Xenopus tropicalis: one gene and its partner. The protein of the gene in region 1 binds, or shares a complex with, the protein of each later gene. Links are inferred from orthologs where the notes say so. Each region holds a gene or a part of one and is shown in the gene's direction. Other genes may lie near its edges.

What was found.
Region 2: satb1 (region 1) and hoxb2 share a complex: the UniProt entries of both Homo sapiens proteins name them as parts of the nuclear protein complex. The link is inferred for Xenopus tropicalis from reciprocal best matches to the Homo sapiens genes SATB1 and HOXB2.

Annotation. Positions count from the first base shown.
Region 1 is NC_030682.2:45,052,752-45,056,585, reverse strand, and holds part of satb1 (DNA-binding protein SATB1), read left to right. Parts: intron 1-47; coding exon 48-502; intron 503-3,834. UniProt on the Homo sapiens protein: Crucial silencing factor contributing to the initiation of X inactivation mediated by Xist RNA that occurs during embryogenesis and in lymphoma.
Region 2 is NC_030686.2:12,016,870-12,021,284, reverse strand, and holds the start of hoxb2 (homeobox protein Hox-B2), read left to right. Parts: upstream 1-1,335; 5' UTR 1,336-1,519; intron 1,520-1,918; 5' UTR 1,919-2,106; coding exon 2,107-2,470; intron 2,471-3,971; coding exon 3,972-4,415. UniProt on the Homo sapiens protein: Sequence-specific transcription factor which is part of a developmental regulatory system that provides cells with specific positional identities on the anterior-posterior axis.

The DNA of each region.
Region 1 (3,834 bases):
ATTTTTGTATTTATTAAAACATAACTTTTTTTTTTCTACTTCTATAGTGGATATTGAAGAATTATCAGAACGCTCTCAACAAAGTAGCAATCATGTAAACTATGGTCAGCAGCCTGGTTCTGTTGGTACTCCAGAAAACCCTTCATCCCCGGTTCAGATTTCTCACAGTAGTCAACCACCTGCGAGGACACCACTTCCCAATTTGCATCCAGGACTTGTTTCTACTCCCATCAGCCCTCAGTTAGTAAATCAGCAGCTGGTAATGGCTCAGTTACTGAACCAGCAATATGCTGTAAACAGACTACTCGCACAACAGTCCTTAAACCAACAGTACTTGAACCATCCTCCTCCTGTCAGTAGATCAATCAACAAGCCTTTAGAGCAACAGGTTTCGCCCAACACAGAAGTGTCTTCCGATATCTACCAGTGGGTACGTGATGAATTAAAACGAGCAGGAATCTCGCAAGCAGTATTTGCACGAGTGGCTTTCAACAGAACTCAGGTAATGATTAGCCACATAGTAACAGGATAGCGTATGTATTTTTTATAGGCAGTTTAGGAAATAGCATGATCTAAAGCAGTACTGTGCAGTTGTTTTCTCAGACTGGTCCACACATGCAGAGGCTGAAATGTATTCAAATGTAGATGGTTTACAAAAAATGGAGACCATGGGCAATTGGGTGGGGCCTGCCAGCCCTGAGGCTAAGCAGTCGAAAGAACTGCTCTGGTTGTAATTTGTGTTTTGCAGCAAGTTCATAGTATTTTTGGAATGTTGTTTTCCTTTTAAAAATTTTGATTTTCATTATATATTATTAGATATTGACTAGGATGTCCAGCATAATAGGCAGATTAATAACAAAATCAACCCCAGACTTTCAAGCCATTTCACAAACATTGATTGCTGAGCTACAGCTTATTTTCTTTGTTTCACTAAAATCAAACTTAAATAGCTTTACAACAAACTGTGATATATGTGCAGATTAATGTTCTTTCTTGCTATTAAGTGCATTTTCTAAACCAAGTTCATAGGAATTTAAGTAGCCATACCATTAACTCAAAATACTAATTATTATTCCATGATTATCGTCTTTAACTGCTTTATCAATGCATTTGACATTATGTATGTGTAGCCAGAGCATGCATTAACCTGGTTATTTAGAAATTTGTAGGCCAGAGCAGCTCAGGCATAATCCATGTAAGGCTAATGCCAGACGAGGCGTAGGGTGGATATTTTCGGCAAGCGGAAAAAAAGTTGCCAAAAACACCGCCCTACGCCTCCTACATGTGTCTGCACCCGAATTAATGGAATACGCCTGGGTGCAGGCACATGTAGCCAAAATACGCATAAAAACGCGACAGTTTGAAAGTCTCGTTTGAAAGTTTGAAAGTCTCTTTTTTTTTTTTTTTTTTTTTTTTTTTGCATATTCCGGCTACATGTGCCTGCACCAGAGTGTATTCCATTCATTCTGGTGCAGGCACAAGTAGGAGGCATAGGGCAGAATTTTCGGAGTTTATCCGCCCTGCGCCTCATCTGGCATTAGCCAAAGGGTTACTTCTACAAAAATTGTCCCAACACACTGCTTTCTCAGCTGCACTGCAAAATGCTGTCATGGAGAATTACAACACACACACACAACCGTACTTAGAGTTATAATTAAAAGGATTGCACCTACCCATCGAGTCACATTTATTAATCTGAATACTTTATGATATAATGGAATTCTTTGTAAGCAGGACAGTGATTTTGAAGTTTTCTGGTCACCAGTTCAAAATCTACCGGGCTCCATTGCTGTAGCAGGATTATTTTTTATATCTATTGTAGTATTGATGCCATGTATTTAGACACCTAGCAACTGGACTGACAACATGCAGTCATCAAACTTGCCTAGATGTAGCCATACTTGCCTGCATTTGGTCAGGCAGTTTGGCTGTTTTAAACTTCCTGCCTAACTGTGTATATAGCACCTTGTGGTGAACTTTTGACTGTGCTGTGTGTGTGTTCAAACTGAAAATTTCATCAAACTATGCCTTCATGATGTGTGGAAAAAACAATGCAGATTATATGTTGAAGTATGATGCTGGTGTATGCTGGAAGTTGCAGTCCAGCAACATGTTTAAAGAAACGGCAATCATTTCATGACTTCCAATAATATTATGTTTTATATAATTCTTGAATAGTGTTGGCTACATAACTGATATACTATGCTGTAAACAACCTCGGTTATCCATGTCCTTCATCAAAACACAATGTGCTAACTGTAGAGAATGTTAAGTGACTGGAAGTCATTGGTGTTTACTATGAGAATTCCCACGTGCAACCTGTCGAACTGTAGTTTACACGCGTAATAAGGTTTTCGAAAGTCACATGTTTTCATTTCTGTTACAGTAATGTCTATGTTTTAAAAATTTGCATACCAAGTTACTCACTCTAAAAAGGGCCATTGTGAACAAGTGGTTTATTTGCAATGTTTCTCCCTTCTTTTTGCCTTACATCCTACAGGACAGCATGAGGGCCAAAAGGATGGATCAAATCCTTTTATGTGCATATGTGAAGTATCCTTGGGTGATGGGATACTTATAAATTAGTAAAGTATAAATTTGAGGGTACAGAATCTAAGCTAACACCAGGACTACACATAGACAATAAGTGTTAAGGTAAACTTGTGTATGGTTAGAGTAATATTGGACTTTCAAGTTAGAGGCCTTCTGCTGTCATGATCTGTGTAACAATAATATTCATTTGTTTGTACAAGGAACAAAATATGGTCTTTTGCATTTAGACAGCAGCAAGTCATTTGCTGCTTCGGGGCAGACAGCTTCCAGATCAATTTGATGGTTATATATCTATTACGGGCCAGTGGTTTGGGCTTTCCTTGCAAACCTGTGAAAGTGATGAGCTAATACTGTACTGCGATTATTTCCTGGCAAACTGGCAAAGGATTCTTCTATAGCAGATCCTCAATCTTTTTCTCTGGGGACCCTGATTAAGGCTGGGAATCCGCTTCACGACCCAACAACTGGTTTATAATTCATTATGCACCTCATTAAAATTAGTTTTATAGGAAGAAAGTACACTATTAAAGGAGATCATTGAAACGCACCATAAACAGCATGAGAACGTATTTGGTCCTATTTTAAGAATGACTTATTGTAATATGATAAGTACAGTGGTATTTATTTAAATTAAATGTGGAAAGGCACAGAAATAGATCTATTATTGGCTACTTTAAGTTAAAAAATAGGGGATTAAAGCATTACAGATGGGAAGGTGCACCTCTCCTGCTAAAAATAGGTGTCTCTGTCATTTTGCACATAAATATTTAATTAGAGCATTCAATAGTAAGGGGCGTATTTATAAAGATGACATCTTTTACACAACCTTTTTAGTTAGTCCTATTAATTTCAATGGGTTGTCCCAGGTCTAAGGTGGTTTAAAAACATGGCATAATTTTGGCGATAGTCTGACTGAGAAATATGCACACCTTTTTAAAACTGGCAAGATTAGTTCTTTGTAATGTATTATTCATTATTCCAGTAGTGGTGTGCCCATTGCGCCAAATTTTACAAGGTTTTTGACATAAAACCTTATACACAGTTTTATACTATATCCCTAAGTGTTTGAAATTCATATTAAATGTTTGAAACTAAAATACCATGTAAGTGACATGTAATTAGTAAAATAGAAAGAAGGCACAGTCCAACCCTACAATGCTTGTTCATTACACATAATCCTCATATTCTTTTATTTGTGCAGTAAGGGCATTTTTTTTTATTCTAAAGAGAAAAGGTACCTCCTTTGGTACATGGCAGACAAGAACAAAATCTGAATTTAAG
Region 2 (4,415 bases), on another chromosome or scaffold:
GCCATGTTCCTGGGAGCTACAAATGCAGAGCATTGCGGGGGCAGGGAGAGAAATCTGCCACAAAGGCTTCTATTGCTTTTAGTGATAGGAATGTATTATCCAAATGTATCACCGAAATGTATCAATATAAAGGCACCGCAATTTTATCTGAATAAGGTTCTTGTATTCTCCTGATAACCCACACTTACTACATATCTATCTATCATCTATTTATCTATCTATCTATCTATATCTATCCATATCTATCTATCATCTATTTATCTATCTATCTATCTATATCTATCCATATCTATCTATCATCTATTTATCTATCTATCTATATCTATCCATATCTATCTATCATCTATCTATCTATCTATCTACCTATCTATATCTATCCATATCTATATATCATCTATCTATCTATCTATCTATCTATATCTATCCATATTTATATATCATCTATCTATCTATGTATCTACCTATCTATATCTATCCATATCCATATATCATCTATCTATCTATCTATCTATCTATCTATCTATATCTATCCATATCTATATATCATCTATCTATCTATCTATCTATCTATCTATCTATCTACCTATCTATCTATCTACCTATCTATATCTATCCATATCTATATATCATCTATCTATCTATCTATCATCTATCTATCTATCTATCTATCTATCTATCTATCTATCTATCTATCTATCTATCATCATCTATTTATCTATCTATCTACCTATCTGTATCTATCCTTTTTCTAAACCCCTCTCTCTATTTATTTTTGCCAAGGAATACTATAGGAATACTATAAGGCTGCCCTATTAGAAATAGTCGGTGTGTGCCTTTATACGCCTGTTTACGCCTGTTTAATCCCCGAATGTTAAGCGTTCCTTACCTCGCCAATTTATCTGAACTTGCTCCAAACGATAAATAAGACATTATTTCTCCATGGGCCGTGGGGCAGGATTTCTCTAGCAGTTCTGGCTCCGGAGGGGACAATAACAAAGCCACCAAATGATGTTTCTTGTCTCAGATCTACAATGCAGAAAAGTTAGAGAATATGAAGAGATCCAACAAGGGGGATGTGTGGCACAAAGAGGCGCATCTCTAGGAGGTAAAGTCCATCTATTCCTTGGTTTGTCAGTACTCCAGCCCTACTAGAGCTTTGCACAATAGTCACTGATTTACACCCACCACCCACACACATTTTTTTCTTTAAATGAACACAAAGTTTCCCTGCCGCCATGAAGTGCTCGGGAGAGTCTCTCATTCCCAGTCCACATGCTGCAATGAGACTGAGCTCTTGCTTTTTTTTTTTTCCTCTCTCGTTTTGCTGCTGTAATATTTTTTTCTTTTGTGTGTGCTGAGATTTTCTCGGTTTCTTTCCCATGTCGGTTGCAATAATGGGTGAAATTCCTTTCTGACACTACCTTTCCACTTGTGAGATTGATCACTCTCCTTGTGCAGCCGGGTAGGGTTCCCAGAGATCCTCAGCGGCCTCTCCAGCAGGATTTATTCCTGAGAAGCAGTAAGTGTCCCTCACTTGTGCTGGAAAATAACCCGGGTCAGGGGCCACTCAGCCCTTCCTGAAATAACCCTGAATGCTACCCAGCTTGGCCCCTAGCAACGCCTGGCTACTGACAGATAACCTTCCGCATTTCCCTGTTTGCGCTAAACTCGCTGGCTATCAGATAACCATGTTTACACAGAAAAGGCTACATTCCATATTGCTAATGGAGAAATGTGCCATTTTCCAACCCTTCCCAAACAGGAATTAATCCCTGTGTTCTCTGCTTACAGTGGTTATACCCACATTTAGTTTTACCCGCATTAATCATCGAGCAGTTTGCATCACTCCCCCCCCCCCAAACACACTCACATACATTTATAGGATTTAATTCACAGTTATAATGCTTTCTATTTCCAGCAGGCCTACGCTCCCCATTGGTCAGCCCTGGTCATGTGACCAGGAATTGGCTGCAAGTCGCCCAGTGTTCAGTTTATTACAGGAGGGTCCCCATACGCCTGATTTATCAGCAATATACAATAATAGGGCCTGTGGATTACGGGGACCCTAAATTTGGCTCTCCCAGCCCGGCCTGGCTCAGGGCAGCCATGAATTTGGAATTTGAGAGGGAGATCGGGTTTATAAACAGCCAGCCTTCGCTCGCAGAGTGCCTGACGTCCTTCCCTGCTGTCCTGGAGACATTTCAAACTTCATCAATCAAGGACTCGACATTAATTCCTCCTCCTTTTGAGCAAACCATCCCCAGCCTGAATCCTGGCTCCGACAGCCAGATCCGGCCCAAAAGCCAAAAACGAGCAGAGAATGGCCTGCTCCAGCAGCCCCAGGTCCAGCCTGGCCATTTGGCTACCGAATTCCCCTGGATGAAAGAGAAGAAATCGGCAAAGAAGAGCAGCCAAGGGTCCCCCCAGGCCCTTATTCCCCCTCCTGAGTCTGCAGGGGGGTCTCCTGCAGGTCGGTATTCTAGGGGATTCATTGTATATAGCAAGTGGGATATATTGTACAGAGAAAGTGGATATATTGTATATAGCAAGTGGGATACATTCTATAGAGAAAGTGGATACATTGGATATAGAAAGTGGGAAATATTGTATATAGCAAATGGGATATATTGTATATAGCAAATGGGATATATTGTATATAGCAAGTGGGATATATTGTACAGAGAAAGTGGGATACATTGTATATAGCAAATGGGATATATTGTATATAGCAAATGGGATATATTGTATATAGCAAGTGGGATATATTGTACAGAGAAAGTGGATATATTGTATATAGCAAGTGGGATACATTCTATAGAGAAAGTGGATACATTCTATAGAGAAAGTGGGATACATTGTATATAGAAAGTGGGATACATTGTATAGAGAAAGTGGGATACATTGTATAGAGAAAGTGGGATACATTGTATAGAGAAAGTGGGATACATTGGATATAGAAAGTAAGGGGCACAGTGGGCCTATATTGTTACTATTTTGTAACGAATGTAACACACCAAGTGATATATCTAGAAATGATATCTTTACTGGGAACATTTTCTCCAATCATGGCATTGTATGTAACCATATCATCTTATTTATGGGCAACCCACACTCTTGGGGGGATCCTGTAAGTGGTAATGTATTTAACTGGAGTGGTAATTAGATTATAGATAGATAGATGCATAGATAGATAGATTGATAGATGATAGATAGATAGATAGATAGATAGATAGATGATAGATAGATAGATAGATAGATAGATAGATAGATAGATAGATAGATAGATGTTTGTTTGAGATTAATATAGGGTCAGAAAAACTAGATAGATGATGGGCAACCACACTCTTGGGGGGATCCTGTAAGTGGTAATGTATTTAACTGGAGTGGTAATTAGATTATAGATAGATAGATGCATAGATAGATAGATTGATAGATGATAGATAGATAGATAGATAGATAGACAGATAGATGATAGATAGATAGGTAGATAGATAGATGATAGATAGATGATAGATAGATAGATAGATAGATAGATAGATAGATAGATAGATAGATAGATAGATAGATAGATATGTTTGTTTGAGATTAATATAGGGTCAGAAAAACTAGATAGATGATGGGCAACCACACTCTTGGGGGGATCCTGTAAGTGGTAATGTATTTAACTGCAGTGGTAATGCATAGATAGATAAATAGATAGATGTATAGATAGATAGATAGATAGATAGATAGATAGATAGATAGATAGATGATATAGAAATGGCTGGGCCATAACAGTGACGATAGAAACCTGATCCATCTTTAGTTTGTAGCCAGCACAGTCTGAGGAATGTTAACTCTCCAGCTGCCAGAAGAAATCCACTGGCCACATGGCAGTAGTAGAGTTAACTCCCTAAGAGAGGTGCTCGGTGGGACAGATGGTGGGACAAATGGTGGGTTCTAGATAAAGGAACCCTGTTTTATCCCCACAGAACCCCCTGGGCTGCACGATGCCGGCGGCGGATCCAGAAGACTGCGCACCGCATACACCAACACCCAACTCCTGGAGCTGGAGAAAGAATTTCACTTTAATAAATACTTGTGCCGACCCAGGAGGGTGGAGATAGCGGCTCTGCTGGATCTGACTGAGAGACAGGTCAAGGTTTGGTTCCAGAACCGGAGGATGAAGCACAAGAGACAAACCCAGCACAAGGACTCGCAGGACGGGGAGCACAGTTACTCGAACCCCGAAGATGGCGAACCCCTGGACGATGGAGACGATAGTCCGGTCTATCACCAGGGATTGGATAGTAATGACTCTTTAAGGGAACAGGAGATCCGCAAAGATCCCAGCACAGCAATGCCTTCAAGCAAGGAGTTAACCCCCAGCAGCCCTTTATACCCAACGCCTACTACTGATTCCGAGGGCAGAATAG